Linked DNA regions of Bombyx mori. The protein of the gene in region 1 binds, or shares a complex with, the protein of each later gene. Links are inferred from orthologs where the notes say so. Each region holds a gene or a part of one and is shown in the gene's direction. Other genes may lie near its edges.

Region 1 (3,513 bases):
CATTTTCCATCCTCGCTCATGGTATGGTTGGGAGTTTCTTATTGGGGCTTAATAGAGGTACATTTTTGTGAGAAAGGTGTAAAAACGAATGCAGTTGTGTATCAAAATACAGTCCTGACGAACCTTGTGGTACCTGTTTCTCATACCATGTTCAATAACAGGCACTGGGTATTCCAACAAGATTCGGCGCCAGTTCATAGAGCGAAGAGCACACAAGACTGGCTGGCGGGGCGTGAAATCGACTTCATCCGGCACGAAGACTGGCCCTCCTCCAGTCCAGATTTGAATCCGTTAGATTACAAGATATGGCAACACTTGGAGAAAAAGGCGTGCTCAAAGCCTCATCCCAATTTGGAGTCACTGAAGACATCCTTGATTAAGGCAGCCGCCGATATTGACATGGACCTCGTTCGTGCTGCGATAGACGACTGGCCGCGCAGATTGAAGTCCTGTATTCAAAATCACGGAGGTCATTTTGAATAAACGTTAGTGTCATAAGAATCTGTTTTGTTAAGTTCATTTTGGTATATGAATGGTTACATAATGAATAAACTTGTTTCAATTATTTTACCTTAAACATGTGACAGAATTTATGACCTGACTATGTATAATGATTGTTCACAAAATTTAAAAGACAGTTGTTATATCTACGAGCAGCTCAAACGAAATATGTAATGTGAAAAACTTACATCAGTCAATGTGGAGCCAAGTTGACACTTACATGTAAATTACTGAAATCTGAAACCACAGTACTGTTTACCCTGTATCTGTATAATAAAGAATTTTACAAAAATACACCATTAGTATTTAGGCTTCCCTGTAATTAAAAATGTATATATTATAAAAATTGTTTTATAAAGTAAAACAAGAATTTACTTAATTTAAAAATTTGTATATTGTTCTTAACTAATTTGTGATTCTTTATTTTTTTAGTACGTCAAAAGCTATTATGTCAGCAGCCGGTGTACCCATTGTTAGAGGATACCATGGTGAAGATCAGAACATTGAGAGACTGAAAGCTGAAGCCCAAAGAATTGGTTTCCCGCTTATGATCAAGGCTGTCCGGGGGGGCGGAGGAAAGGTACAATCTATTTAAATTCACCTTTAATGCGTATATCTTTATTTTATCATTTTAGTAGAAATGGTGAATTGATTTTGAACCATCTGTGGTGAAATAAAATATTGAAGACTTCACCATTCCACTGGGTTTTTCATCTAAAACATTAATGTTGGCTTACTTGATGTAAAATATTAAGAAAAAAATGGATGTAACCTTTCAATAATACATTAATGACTGGTTCAAAAACCATGAAATGTCTATAAGTGTTTATAAAATTCAATACAAAATTTCAAATGGTAATAAATATCTCACACCAAATGTTTTGATTCTTCCACCCAATTTTTTTTCTTAATCTTTTTTATTTGTTTTCAGGGTATGAGAATCGCAATGACCGAATCTGATTTCCTTCCGCAATTGGAATCGGCGAAGAGAGAATCGCTTAAATCATTTGGAGATGATAATATGCTGCTCGAACAATACATTACGGATCCAAGGCATGTGGAAGTTCAGGTGTGGTGAATAATTTTTCTTTTTAAATGTCAATATTATCTAGTTAGTTCACCACACATTATACAAGTATTATATAAATTATTTTAACTGTAAAAAAATTGTAAAACCATATTTTTTTATTTCGTATCAGAGGCTAATGTAAAAAAAAACTCATTTCAGGTGTTCGCAGATATGCACGGAAATGCTGTTCATCTTTTTGAAAGAGATTGTTCAGTACAGAGACGACACCAGAAGATCATAGAAGAAGCTCCGGCAGTGAGTGTTTTTTTTAATTTCCAAATTCATTTAATCTCAAACCTAACTGAAGTCATCGTGGCCTAAAGGATAAGACGTCTGGTGCATTCACCTGGTGTTCGAATCCCTCAGGCGGGTACCGATTTTTCTAATGAAATACGTGCTTAACAAATGTTCACGATTGACTTCCACAGTGAAGGAATAACATCGTGTAATAAAAATCAAACCAGCAAAACTATCATTTGCGTAATTAATGATGGTAGGACCTCTTGTGAGTCCGCACGGGTAGGTACCACCACACTGCCTATTTCTGCCGTGAAGCAATAATGCGTTTCGGTTTGAAGGGTGGGGCAGCCGTTGTAATTATACGGAGACCTTAGAACTTATATCTCAAGGTGGGTGGCGCATTACGTACACGTAATAGATGTCTATGGGCATCAGTAACCACTTAATACCATGTGGGCTGTGAGCTCGTCCACCCATCTAAGCAATAAATAAAAAAAGACAAACTATCATCATAATATATATTCTGTCTTCCAGCCTGGGCTTTCTGAAGAGACTCGTAGAGCGTTAGGTGAAGCCGCAGTTCGCGCCGCCAAGGCCGTGGGCTACGTAGGAGCCGGCACAGTAGAGTTCATCCTTCATAGAGTCACACACGAATTCCACTTCATGGAGATGAACACGCGTCTTCAAGTCGAACATCCAATCACGGAAATGATAACTGGTAATTAATTTAATTAAAATTGTTTTATCTTTAAATTAATTCAATTGATATACTAATGTATACCTGCAAAGGTTTTGGTTGAGAATAAAATCACTCTGTCTATTCTATTGAATGTCATGAAGTGAATAAGCTGAAGCCTTTGAGTATTATATATGCATACATATAAGTTGTACATAAATACTAGAGGAGATCAAAACTTGTGTCTGAAGTGGAGAACTCTCTGGGGCGTGTCTCCAAGTGGGGTAAACTGAATTCAGTTCAGTTCAACGCATTGAAGACACGGGCTTACGCGTTCACTGCGAAGGGCCCTTTTGTCATAGCGCCGCAATTTCAAGGAGTAGTACCTACCCCTGCAGCTTTCCTCGAGTATAGGGATTCTGGGGATCGATATTTCGAGCGATGTCAAATTTCGGAGTCATTTGGAAGGTTAAGCCAAATTGGCCTCTAAAATGTTAATTAAAAAAACGACAATTTAGCCGAGAAAATTGTGAGTGAAAACGAGTGACTTTTACCACAGCACATAAGCACAGTCTTACCGAATATGACTAACTCATTATTGCAGATGCAATTAGCCAATCACGCAAAGAAACTTATTTTTTGTGCCAAACGCATACGCATACGAAAAAGGCCTATTTTGGATCTTTTATCAGTCAAGGGACTCCATGAAATACAATATGCAACTGCGACAATTTTTTTCATTGTACATATTATTATTATAACTTCAAAATATGTTTACTGGTGGTAGGACCTGTTGTGAGTCCGCGCGGGTAGGTACCACCGCCCTGCCTATTTCTGCCGTGAAGCAGTAATGTGTTTCGGTTTGAAGGGTGGGGCAGCCGTTGTAACTATACTGAGACCTTACAACTTATATCTCAAGGTGGGTGGCGCATTTACGTTGTAGATGTCTATGGGCTCCAGTTACCACTTAACACCAGGTGGGCTGTGAGCTCGTCCACCCATCTAAGCAATAAAAAAAAAACTCATT
Region 2 (4,155 bases), on another chromosome or scaffold:
CGAAATCTGTGATTATAGAAGTATAGAAGTCTTTAACAATAGAATCATAATGGTGTACAAACTTATATTTCAATGAATTATATTATATTCGAATTTCGATCACCAGGGCATCACTAGTTTTATGAAATTGTTCAACTTATTTATTGTCATCGAAATTTTTAATACTTGCAACCGTAGACGTAATGCAAATTGTTATATTCATCGGAATGCCGACGAATTGATTTGACACTAGTATTGTGTAAGAATCAAATTAAAACATACACATTTTGTTTTCAATTATTTAATCTTAAATATAGAGTTTTTTGTGACGTTCAATGATTTTGGGGTCATGCCCCACGACGATTTTCGAAGGCCTTAGGATGTGAATGATACCAGTCTTGAGACATGAGGTCGAACTTTCGCTTGTACTCCAACATCGATTATTTGCCGATTATAATGAGACAGTAATTTATGATATTCATTTTATACAAGATACTGTAAGTTTCAAATTCACAAGCTAGGTCTTACTGCTGATCCAGTCTGCAGGTATTGTGAGGAGGTGGAAGGAATCCTTAAGCACATGTTTGTGACTACTGAGCTTTAGGTAGTAAAATATGTTAAGTTCTCGGAGAGTATATTATTTACCTTAAGACGGAGAAGGAAAATTGTTCAAGAAAAATAGTTCAATTATTTATTTAATTAATTATTTATTTATTAGGCCCGGACAAAGATATCTAACACTTTGGTTTGGGGAAACATCAATGATCTTCCACTTAAGGTTTTTGCCAGATTTCTTTTACTCTATAATAGTTATCATAATACTGGGCATCTAAACCATGATAGAACCATAGTTGAAATGCTAATAATTAATAAAAAAAAACGTCTATATTACGTCCTATCTTAGTATACGATATTAATGTCGCTGTGTTCTGCAATACAATATAAGGTATATCTTTTACATATTTGCCAACAACTAAATAAAAGTAAGCGTCCATAAAAGATTGGCATAACGATAAAATACGAATATCCAATCGTATTCGATGAAGGGTAATGTCTATTTTGAAATTCAACTTGAAAATAAAATCAGTCTTGGTCTACAAGTAGATTCGTCGTAACAAGTGACCGTTTATTGTTCAAGGTCCGTGTGTATTTCACACCACGCTGCACGTGAACTCGACTCAAAAGTGGGTCACGTCATCATGATCGAATATCTGTTCAAAAACTAACATAAAATTTCGCTTCACGAATTTAAGGATCATTTATTTAAGCGCGTTATGCAAAAGGCGAACGCGCCAGAATGAATGGAAACGCGTCGGCGCTGGGCTTTGTAAATATTACGTAAAACTACGCTGTCTTAATATACAGTCAGAACGCATACATATGTAATAATGTAAGTTATTATCGGAGCGGGGGGCGGTCGTCAAGGAATTTGTTTTTGTACGATTAAAATGTGTTGATAACGTTAACAGCGGCTTTGTTGCCAGTAGCGCGTCAGAGGCCCGACGACCGGTCGTGTTTTTATTCTCAATTTAATTATACATTAAAATGTTTAAACTCGTCAGAAGCATACGCCGACTGAGCGCACAATGCCGGCACCACAGCCACGCGACCGTCATCGGTACTGAGCCGAACCGAAGTGATCCTTACTTTCAAGAGAATAAGGCGAAAATGGATGAACTGATCGACGAGCTTCAACAGAAAACCGGTGACGCTATCAGAGGTGGGCCAGAGGACGCAGTAAAGAGGCACACGGCGAGAGGAAAATTGCTTGTCAAAGACAGGATTAACCGGTTAGTGGACGAGGGCTCCGATGTATTGGAATTGAGCGCGCTCGCCGCCGCCGACATGTACAAGGGCCAGGTTCCGAGCGCCGGTATCGTCACCGCTATCGGCAAAGTTCACGGTCGCGATTGCATGATCGTCGCTAATGATGCAACCGTTAAAGGGGGAACTTATTTTCCGATTACCGTGAAGAAGCACTTACGCGCCCAGTCGATCGCACAGGAATGTCGGCTTCCGTGCATTTATCTTGTTGATTCTGGTGGAGCCCATCTCCCTGATCAGGCTGATGTGTTTCCGGACCGCGAACACTTCGGAAGAATATTTTACAATCAAGCTAATATGTCAGCTGAGGGTATACCGCAGATATCTGTTGTCATGGGATCGTGCACTGCGGGAGGAGCGTACATCCCTAGTATGTCAGACGAGAGTATTATAATAAAAAATCAAGGAACCATTTTCTTGGCCGGCCCTCCATTAGTCAAAGCCGCTACTGGTGAATCAGTTTCTGCTGAAGATTTAGGTGGAGCTGACCTACATTGCCGGCAATCAGGAGTAACGGATCATTATGCTCTAGATGATGAGCATGCTTTACATTTAGCTAGGAATGTCGTGGCCAACCTCAATTGGAACAATGACCAAAGAGCTAGAGTTTATTCCTCGAAAATTGAGGAGCCTGTTCATGACATTCAGGATTTACACGGAATAGTAGGTGCTAATATTCAGAGACCTTTCGACATTAGAGAGGTTATATCCCGGATAGTTGACGGAAGTAGATTTCATGAATTCAAGCAACTTTATGGGGACACTTTAGTCTGCGGCTTCGCCACATTGTATGGACACCCAGTAGGTGTAATCGGGAACAACGGCGTTCTTATGTCCGAATCAGCTTTGAAGGGATCCCATTTCATTCAGCTGTGCGCTGCTAGGAAGATTCCTTTAGTGTTCCTGCAAAACATTACAGGTTTTATGGTAGGAAAAGACGCTGAAGCTGGCGGTATTGCTAAAAATGGAGCTAAAATGGTAACTGCGGTCAGTTGTTTCAAAGGACCGAAAATAACTGTGATTGTTGGGGGAAGTTTCGGTGCTGGGAACTATGGAATGTGTGGGCGAGCGTATTCGCCGAGTTTTCTTTTCATGTGGCCCAACGCAAGAATATCCGTGATGGGGGGACCACAAGCTGCAACAGTTCTCTCCTTGGTCGCCAAAGAAAAGGCTCAGCGTGAAGGGAAACCGTGGACTGATGAAGATGAAAAGAAAGTCAGGGGTCCATTAGAAGCGCAATTTGAGAAAGAGGGTCTTCCTTACTACAGTACAGCAAGGCTGTGGGATGATGGCATTGTAGCTCCGAAAGATACGAGAAAAATTATAGGCCTAAGTTTATCGGCAGCTCTTAACGCACCGTTTAGAGAAAGCAAATTCGGCATCTTTAGAATGTGAGTGAAATTTGAACAAAGTGAAACTTTACAAGACTGTTTTGTTTAATGTACTTAGTAAGACTTTATTTTCTTCTCTAGATATATTTTAAAATTGTAATAAATCGCTTTTGGTGATTTCGTACAGTGATTTTTACCATATATCTTATCTTTGTTAGCAAGTGAACTTGTCACGTTCTTTTATCTAATTAAAATGAGCAATCATTAACTACAGATTATGACATGGTCGATAAGATTTATTTTGGTTGTGACACGCCTCTTTAGATAATTGTTGCTGTATCATATAGTGAGAAAATTAATGTTTCTAGTACATCCTCGGTTGGTTTAGTTTTAGAGAAAACAATGCAACGGTCTGGGCTTGGATTTGACCAGTCTTCTTCAGTCCCTGCCTCCGTAGGGAAGTAATTTCTAGTTAAGTACTTTCAAAATCTCGTTGGAATAAATAAGCGACACAGAAAGCAAAGGTGCTCGTTTTTAGACATATGCGTTGTTGAATTCAGTTGAGAATAGTCCTTAAAATTTGGCGAACGGATGCCTGATTTTTAAAAACAAAGTAATTGTAGTTTTGGTCGAAGTAAAGAGTAAAAACTAAATAAAAACAATTGTATTACCTACCTTATACATTAACTACATTTGAAAAGTCATTTTGAAATAAAAAGAACAATGGCTATATGAAATGTATTCAATTACTATGCAAATCATTAAAAATGGTGTTACAAAGTTTAGGTTTAACTAAAGGATTTGTGCCACTTAATTTTAACGGTTTGTTTTTAGTGGTAATAAATACAAGGTCGAAATGTCAAAAGAGGACCGATATATGAAGTTTTTTCTATTTCACTCAATTAAAAATTAGCCTTAAAAATACTGTATTCAGGTTTCATGTGAGGTTAATATGTAGATAGTATAAGTAAGATAATTAAAGAAAGTGACTGCCATTAGCGAAATGTCCGTAAATAGGACC

What was found. Proteins that work in one complex are often made in the same cells at the same time.
Region 2: the proteins of methylcrotonoyl-CoA carboxylase subunit alpha, mitochondrial (region 1) and probable methylcrotonoyl-CoA carboxylase beta chain, mitochondrial are in contact, whole or in part, in a cryo-EM structure (PDB 8JXM), measured with the Homo sapiens proteins. The link is inferred for Bombyx mori from reciprocal best matches to the Homo sapiens genes MCCC1 and MCCC2. Residues at the interface, in NP_064551.3 of Homo sapiens: Glu519, Phe526, His531, Asp532, Phe534, Ser535, Pro536, Phe537, Ser538, Ser539, Ser540, Ser541, Gly542, Arg543, Arg544, Leu545, Asn546, Ile547, Tyr549, Thr550, Arg551, Tyr568, Tyr636, Leu637, Ser641, Glu644; in NP_071415.1 of Homo sapiens: Leu56, His57, Val60, Glu61, Lys64, Asp88, Ile91, Pro93, Gly94, Ser95, Pro96, Phe97, Leu98, Glu99, Gln102, Ile123, Gly124, Arg125, Gly128, Glu130, Arg234, Trp276, Leu278, His281, His282, His285, Lys298, Lys299, Leu300, Ile304.

Annotation. Positions count from the first base shown.
Region 1 is NC_085121.1:10,538,787-10,542,299, forward strand, and holds part of methylcrotonoyl-CoA carboxylase subunit alpha, mitochondrial, read left to right. Parts: intron 1-933; coding exon 934-1,081; intron 1,082-1,432; coding exon 1,433-1,570; intron 1,571-1,729; coding exon 1,730-1,825; intron 1,826-2,344; coding exon 2,345-2,528; intron 2,529-3,513.
Region 2 is NC_085125.1:11,581,379-11,585,533, forward strand, and holds the start of probable methylcrotonoyl-CoA carboxylase beta chain, mitochondrial, read left to right. Parts: upstream 1-1,347; 5' UTR 1,348-1,524; coding exon 1,525-3,198; 3' UTR 3,199-4,155. UniProt on the Homo sapiens protein: Carboxyltransferase subunit of the 3-methylcrotonyl-CoA carboxylase, an enzyme that catalyzes the conversion of 3-methylcrotonyl-CoA to 3-methylglutaconyl-CoA, a critical step for leucine and isovaleric acid catabolism.